Linked DNA regions of Caenorhabditis elegans. The protein of the gene in region 1 interacts with the protein of each later gene in a pairwise test. Each region holds a gene or a part of one and is shown on either strand. Other genes may lie near its edges.

Evidence for each region. The genes of interacting proteins can lie anywhere in the genome.
Region 2: the proteins of oma-2 (region 1) and prx-5 interact in a two-hybrid assay, tested with the Caenorhabditis elegans proteins (one large-scale study listed by BioGRID).

What each region holds. Positions count from the first base shown.
Region 1 is NC_003283.11:8,027,499-8,031,719, reverse strand, and holds oma-2 (CCCH-type zinc finger protein oma-2), read right to left. Parts: upstream 2,282-4,221; 5' UTR 2,212-2,281; coding exon 2,174-2,211; intron 2,126-2,173; coding exon 1,970-2,125; intron 1,922-1,969; coding exon 1,700-1,921; intron 1,656-1,699; coding exon 1,508-1,655; intron 1,463-1,507; coding exon 1,246-1,462; intron 1,201-1,245; coding exon 800-1,200; 3' UTR 506-799; downstream 1-505. Other genes in the region: vars-1 (valine--tRNA ligase), read right to left, coding at 1-10, 57-133, 176-264; F43H9.4 (Glycine N-acyltransferase-like protein), read right to left, coding at 3,003-3,165, 3,214-3,275, 3,323-3,431, 3,547-3,758, 3,815-3,956. UniProt on the Caenorhabditis elegans protein: Zinc-finger RNA-binding protein that binds to 5'-UA[AU]-3' motifs in the 3'-UTR of maternal mRNAs to suppress translation in oocytes and embryos.
Region 2 is NC_003280.10:8,703,274-8,707,310, forward strand, and holds prx-5 (TPR_REGION domain-containing protein), read left to right. Parts: upstream 1-1,550; 5' UTR 1,551-1,551; coding exon 1,552-1,651; intron 1,652-1,700; coding exon 1,701-1,885; intron 1,886-1,933; coding exon 1,934-2,278; intron 2,279-2,326; coding exon 2,327-2,557; intron 2,558-2,702; coding exon 2,703-2,792; intron 2,793-2,844; coding exon 2,845-3,308; intron 3,309-3,354; coding exon 3,355-3,448; 3' UTR 3,449-3,487; downstream 3,488-4,037. Other genes in the region: Homeobox protein ceh-7, read right to left, coding at 95-151, 359-556.

The DNA of each region.
Region 1 (4,221 bases):
AATAGACTGCCTGAAAAATATTTTTTTGCCTAGAACTATTATCAAGGAAATCTGACCATTCTTTCGATAATTTGCAGCGGCAAACTCTGTTCTTTGTTCAAAATTTTGTGTTACCTCGTCGATGTTAAAGGAGCTGAAAAAATTAGTTATTTTATTTTCTTAGTTTATCGTTTACCTACTACTTTCACGTGTAATAATTGTCGGTGAGTAAGCACATTGCCTTCTTGAACGATGAAAAAGTGCTAATCGATTCAATTTACCCATTTATTTCACCTGAAACCACAAACAATAATTTAAAAGAAAGAATGCGCTCAATCTGTTGAAAAATTAACGCTCGTCTGGACGAAGCAAATGCGCCCTGTCGCGAAACTAATTGGAGGGAAGATTAAAAAATATTTTTTTGTCAAACGAAACATTTCAGAAATTATTTTGCAATTCTATAATTGAAAATCAGATATCTTCGTGAAAAAACGTTATTTCCAGATGGTCTTCAAAAACATTGATTGACATTCGATAAAGTTTATTGATTGTTAGTGTGGGGAGAGGATACGAGCAATTTATATTTGGAGGGAATTGAAAATACATGCAATGATATCCGATATAATAAAATGCAGCAAAATAATTCAAGTTTAGTTTCAGAGCCTGCGAGAGATGGGGGGAGCGAGCGTGCTTTCTATATGACAGGAACATTGAGCTTATTATATTTACAAATTGCGCGCGTTATTATAGTTAGTATGGGACATAAAAACGTATGGCAATTTGACAAAATGTATAAATAGATGGGGAAGGAGGTGGTTATTCACCACAATTCAAGGTGCTTGGCAATGTCCATGGCAAGTTGATCAAGTCCAGGAATTGGAAGAGTTGTCTCGTTTCCAATCATCGGATTGTTGATAGACTTCAGAAGAATAGACTGAGCAGACTCCGAGTTGGCTTGGCAGGCAGCATCTGCAGCAGCAGAAGCAGCTGTGAGTGGAGACGAATCACTATCTTGAGACGGAGTTGATCCAGAGGAAGAATATCCCGAAACTCCTCCCGGTGTTGATTGTTTTCCAAGCATAGAGTATTGCATGTTCCCGGCTGCTCCAATAAGCATAGACTCAAACGGACTGATTGGACGAGTTGCCATATTCAGACTATCCAATGCGAAGAAAGTTGATGGATCCAACGGCCAGCTTGATGGTGGGCGATTCCCGGCTTCTGTAAAATTATTTTGAATTAATCATCAATATTCAATTTTCATACCCTCAGTCTCAAGTGGCTTCTTCGATGGCAACTCGTATCGTGGTCCACGAATGCTAACTGGGGTTGGACCCAATGGCATATTTGCTGCTGGCTCATCTGGTGTGCATGGCCTTGCAAACATATCAAATTGTTGAGGGCCGGCTGTAGAACGACCTCCATTCATGATATGATGCTCCATTTGATCGCGAAGGTCGGCCAAAGCATGACGTTGCGAAACCTGTTGAAGATTTGATTAAAGTGGAAAATTAAAAAGTTATCTTACCTCGAACAATTTATCGGCTCGAATGTATGCATTTGGTCCATTGTCCGGATGAATGAAAAGACAGCGTTTTCCATATGGGCACAACCCAGTAGTAGTGTACTTATCGCAGAGCTTCGTCCGGTACTTATTGTTTTGACGTGCCTCGATCCTGTAAAATATGTTGTGTAATCTTAATTCAATGTTCAAACCAACAGAGATGGACGAAGCTCCTCTTCGCCGTGAGCAAAACGACAGTTCTCCGCGAAAGCACATGTCTTCGACTCCAACCAAGCCTGACATATGACAGTCTTGTACGATTCCGGTTTTTGCATTCGGTGACGGCGTCTTGGATCAGCATGATATTGCAGTGGGAGAATAGCTTCCTGTGGAAGATTTTGAAGAGCTCTCATTTGCATCGAATGAATATGCTCGTTTCTGAGAAGATAAAATTTAAGAAACAGTCCATTTATCCTATAGAATTACTCAGCAATCTCCTTGAGAAGCTGCTCCTTGACAGCCATCAGGTTAGCGGTCTCGGAAAGCAAATCGTCGATATGAGAAATCGGTTTTTGCTGTTCTTCCGGAACAGTCTCCATCATATCGGGATGCGATGGTTCAACACTCGACTCTGTACGAGCCCTTAAAAAAGAAAATTAAAATTGAGAAACTATGATAAAAGTGGCTCACTCATTATTCTGGATAACATTTTCCTTGAGCATATCCATTATTTCGTTAGTAGTGCAGGGGAAATGGGTGGTTAGTGATTAGGCGTGGGGTGCTCGGTTAATTGATTCCCTGAAATTTAAAGAAATTTTAAAAATGGTAAGATTCCGCGAGCAATGAATAACAACCGTCTAAAGAATGAAAGAAATAAGTTTTTAACGAGAAAAAACGAATGCGCCAAAACGGTATAAAATTATTGTTTTAAGCGACGTAATTCAGAAATAAGCTCTTTTAAAATTCAAATAAACGGGCCAAAATCCTTCTGAATGAAATAAATGAATGAACAGAACCAAATGTTGTTGAACAAAAGAAAACTGAAGAAAACCATCTCTGTCCCAAAATTTCGAAACAAAAAGTCAATGTTTGGCGGCAATGCGCGCTAAATAAGATCAAATAATTATTTTTTAATACTTAAGTTTAGAATTAAGTCTGAAATTTATGGTTGAATCAAAGTCAAAAAACTTGCAAGAAAATGTTGCCAATTTTCACCAATGACTACGGTCACACTCGTTTGAGATGTGCACTCCCCGCTGCTGCGCCTTTAAAGGTTACTGTAACTAATAATTTTTTTTTAGCAAGCATGGAAATTGTGTAATTGTCTGAAAAAGTAACTCATAAACAGCGAATAACTAGATTTTCTCGACTAAAAAATTTTCAACAACACTGTCTGACCAAAATCTAGCTGTAAAAGAACATTACTTTGCAAATATACTTGCTGGAAGGTATTCGAATTTTTATTCAATATTTACATGTATATTTGATTTATTGTAAGTTCATTGTATTCCTATTAAAATCACTTGTGCATTCCATAATTTGACGCCTGGGAATAAACATTTTGGTCGAAAACTAGCGGTGTTCCATTGGACTCAACAACATCCATCAACTTTGACTTTTTTGCTTTTTCCAAGAAGAAACTGTTTGTTGTGTCGATGAACTTGCATGGACGCATTCCATTTCTAAAATATTATCATTTTTCCACAGTCCTTTGTCAAAAAATCACTCACTCAATAGCCATTTTAGCAGCTCCAATCTCCAACTTCTCTCCAAGATTTTTACCACGATGCCCCTAAAAACAGATTTGAAAATATTCAATTTGAAAATAGTAAAACTCACATCAAAGACATGCAAATGAGCAAGTGCTCCGTGAGTTTCTGAAGAAATGAATCCAACAAGTTCGTCGCCTTTACGAACGCAGAGCGATGGGAACCGTCGAAGTTTTTCTCTGAAAAAAATTCCTATTTTTCCATGTAACTGTTGTTTTACGATTTCTCGATTTTGTGAGAAAATGATATAAATCTAGTACTGTTGGTTTTTAATTTCCTGATCCAAAAACTCACTCTACTAATTTTGCATTTGGTGTGATAGATGATCCTACAATCTTCATAACATCATTTGTTGATTCAGGTATATCAATTGAGTATCCATCAGGTAATGTTGTATCACCATAATTTCTATATTTGAAAATTTGACTTTCATTCATTGCAAAAAAGTGTGTTGATTTGTTTTGCACCTCTGCATTAATATTGTTTTTCTTCATGTACTTTTCAATCTAAAATCAAACGTTTCTTATCTATTAACCTTTGTTCTGTTTTCATTGTGTATTACCGCTTTAGTGTAACATTTCTCGGCTACAGTTGATGGAGCATTGGAGCCAGCAAACAATCCATTTGTTTTACAGAATTCATCAAAAACCGCCAGAAAGTCTTCTTCTCGAAACTTTCCATCGTGTGTCAGAATTTGACGGTCTCTGAAAAGGTGCGAAGGTCAATTTCGAATTGAAAAAAAGAGATAGCAAAAGGTGGGAAAAGGTCTTTAGTGATACTGAAAAATGTTTTTGAAAATGAAGAAAAACTGGTTTAGGAATGGATTGTCATGGAAATGTTTGATCTTATCAAATATTACGGTCGAATCGGAAAAACATGAGTGAAGATACGGAAAAATGTAGTCAGCCATGGACATTTAAAACGGAATTCACTTTTTTTTCAAAGTGAACAAAGTTTAGGGTCGCGTGT
Region 2 (4,037 bases), on another chromosome or scaffold:
TCAAAACCGTAAAGCGATGTTTTCAATGTTGGAAATAGTGGTTCTAACTACAAAATTTATTTCAGTGAAATGAAATTAAATAAATATTTGACTATTATTTATTGGCTTCTCTTCTCATCCGGATTCGACGATTTTGGAACCAAATCTTCACCTGTAATGTGCTACGTCTCGGAAAATTATTGAATGATAACAACTGATTTAAAAATTTTTTATTTTTTTCCTAGATTGATCTAATCACATCTTTACAACATACAATCGGATATGTTAGACTTAACGTAGAAGTTGCTGGAGCTCAGCCTGGTGGATAAATTTCGCAAACAATTTTAATAGAGAATAGATTTCTAAAAACAATAGAAACCTGATATTCATCTAGACTCAAAATCCTTGCCAATCTTTCCCTTTCATCACATCCAACATACTGACTTTGTGCAAAATACATTTCGAGTAAATATAGTTGTTCCACTGTAAATGTGGTTCTTCTACGTGGAATTCTGGAGGTTGAAGCTTCTGGTCTAACCATCATCAGTAAGAATGTAAAGACCATTTCGTGTTTCATATTTATGCCGTCAATTGTCAGTACAAGGGGCCGCCCGTTTTCGTTTCGTTTCGTTTAAATTATAGGGAATACATTATAAAATCACACCTTTTGTGTATATCTTCGTAGTTTTATTGGACATTTTAATAGGCCTTGTTTATAAAAGAAAATATAATAATGATGACATTATACAAAAAAGTATTCAAGGAATGTTTTATAGTTACAAAACCTATAGGTATACAGAATATGTCAAAATAGGGGAAAAAACTGAATGTATGCAGTCGACGAATAAGGTTGTCTTGACATTTTTTTGGTTAATAATGTTTTTCCTGCCAGTTTCGATATCTTTGAAATTTTGATCCAGATGACATCAATCCTAGCTATGGAATAATGGGGGAACTCTCTTTAAATTCACAACTTCATTCGAGCAAAATTTGTCTTTTGCACACGAAAAATTATTATTATTATTGCACAATCAAATATTTTTCCCCCGTGCAAGTGTGCAATGGGGCGACGGGTCGAGCCAGAAACCCGTGTTGTTGAAAATCAAACCAAGTGCAAAATATCCATTTTGCTTAATTTAAAACGATCTAGGATAACTCCACTAGCAACTAGAATATCTAATTGAAGGATTGAAATTTGGAAACTTACAATAAGGTATTCTATTTTATTACGTTTTCAATCTTGCTAGGAAAACTTGGAAAAAAAATCCATAAACGTTTCCCGGTTATTTCAGAAATCGATAGTCGACCTCCGTTGTTCCTTATCTAAATTTCATCAATTGTATCCTTTTTGATAAGACAATACTATCTTTTTATCACTACGTCTCCTTCACTCTAAATCCTAATGTAGTATCAATCAATTTGATGAAAAGACTACACTGGGGCCCACTTATTTTCTTTTTCAATCAAAATTCACACTTTATTTTATATATTTCTTGTAAATTGTATTTTTCTTCATTTTTAATTCTACTTTTTTTCAACAATTAACTCTCGAATTCTTCAATTTTTTACAGAATGAAAGGAGTTGTAGAAGGACAATGTGGACAGCAGAATGCTCTTGTCGGGTTAGCTAACACATTTGGAACATCCAATCAAAGAGTCGCTCCGAGTAATGGTAAGCTGGAAATATTCAAGTAAAAATTAACAAAAAAAAAAGTTTTTAGCTGCAGCTTCTCTTCTCCCATCTTCTTCTATGGGAGAACAAATGGCTAATGAATTTTTAAGACAACAAGCGAGAACAATGGCTCCAACAAGTTTCAGCATGAAGTCGATGCAGAATAATTTACCACAGGCATCAGCATCCTCAAGTTTGGCAGCAAATTGGACAAAGGAGTTTCAACCGCGACAGGTATTTCTAATGCATTCATATATTGGTATTTTCAATTGATTGCTTCAGAACCAGTTAGCGAGTCAATGGAGTCAACAATACACATCTAGTGCTCCAAGCATGGAATCTGCATGGCGTCAAGTTCAAGCTCCATCAATGACATCCACGTCATCACATCAACCAATAACAGATGCTGGTATGTGGTCATCTGAATATCTGGATACTGTGGATACTTCTTTAACCAAATCTTCTGGGACTCAAAACTGGGCTGATGATTTTATGGAGCAACAAGATAATTATGGAATGGAAAACACTTGGAAAGATGCACAGGCTTTTGAACAGAGATGGGAGGAAATTAAGAGAGATATGGAAAAGGACGAATCTCTTCAAAGTCCTGAAAACTATGTTTATCAGGTAAGATTTTTGTCTTCTTTAACACATTTTTATAACCCTCCTATTCAGGAAGCAAACCCTTTCACAACCATGTCAGATCCACTGATGGAAGGAGACAATCTAATGAGAAATGGAGATATTGGAAATGCCATGCTTGCCTATGAAGCAGCAGTTCAAAAAGATCCTCAGGATGCACGTGCCTGGTGTAAATTAGGATTGGCTCATGCTGAAAATGAAAAAGATCAGTTAGCAATGCAAGCGTTCCAAAAATGTTTGCAGATTGACGCTGGAAACAAGGAGGTAAAATTTGAGAAAAATATTTGATTATTTGATGCCATAAAATAGATAGGTCGCGATAAAATTCATATCTGTCTCTTAAAACTTTTTAAGAACAGAAATTAAGAAAAAAAAAAAAAAACTTCCAATAAAATCAAAATTATTTCAGGCACTTCTTGGTTTGTCTGTCAGTCAAGCGAACGAAGGAATGGAAAATGAAGCTTTACATCAATTGGATAAATGGATGTCTTCTTACTTGGTATTTCTTATTTTTATTTCAAGAATAATCCCACACGAATAAATATTTTAAGGGTTCAAACTCGACTCAAGTGACAACCACACCTCCACTCTACTCTTCATTTCTGGACAGTGACACTTTTAATCGAGTTGAGGCTAGATTCTTGGATGCTGCTCGGCAACAAGGAGCAACTCCAGATCCAGATCTTCAAAATGCTCTCGGAGTTTTATACAACTTGAATCGCAATTTTGCAAGAGCTGTCGACTCTCTCAAGTTGGCGATCTCCAAAAATCCAACTGATGCTCGTCTCTGGAATCGTCTTGGTGCTACGTTAGCCAATGGTGACCACACAGCTGAAGCCATTTCAGCATATCGAGAAGCTTTGAAATTGTATCCAACATATGTCAGAGCAAGATACAATTTGGGAATATCTTGTATGCAATTATCATCTTATGATGAAGCTTTGAAACATTTTTTATCTGCATTAGAATTGCAAAAAGGAGGAAATGATGCATCTGGTATTTGGACAACTATGAGGTTAGTTTATAGCTTTATATGTTAAAATCACCTTCACAAATTTCAGATCAGCAGCAATCCGAACATCGAATGTCCCTGACAATTTACTGAGAGCAGTGGAAAGACGAGATTTGGCAGCTGTAAAAGCCTCTCTAGTCTAGAATAATTACAATTTAAATACTAAAATAAATAATTATTTTTCCTCGAATTTTTTTACTTGGTTTTCAAACTTTCATTTTGAAAATCTCAATTTCAAGCCGATCACGAGTTTGGAAGGGTCATAAAATGTTATTACAGCGGTAAGAAAGCAGGAAGTAAACCGACCTAGCACAAAAAGTGTTCAGCTCATTTTGTTTTGTTTGTAGAACTCACATTGTTAGAGCTCAATGAAATGATTGAATAATGCCTAAATTAAAATAACATTCTTCAAGACTTCTAGACACTAAGTAATCAAATCCTATCATTTCTCTTACGGTGAATTTCTACAAAATGCTCAGAAATTCCACATGAGTCACCGTTCCATGAGTAAAACCTCGGAACATATGACTGATTCTATTTATTATCATCTTTCCGCCACCCTCTTCCAAACGTCTCACTCTTTTCTATTTGCCGGTCATCGAACACATTCTTCCTTTTCTCTTTCTGTCTTTGAAGCACATGACATGGCCATTTATCATGAAAAGGTACAGCTGGTTGAAGAAGAAGAAGATCCGAGAGAAACAGCTCCAATTGAGAGGAGCACAGTCACAA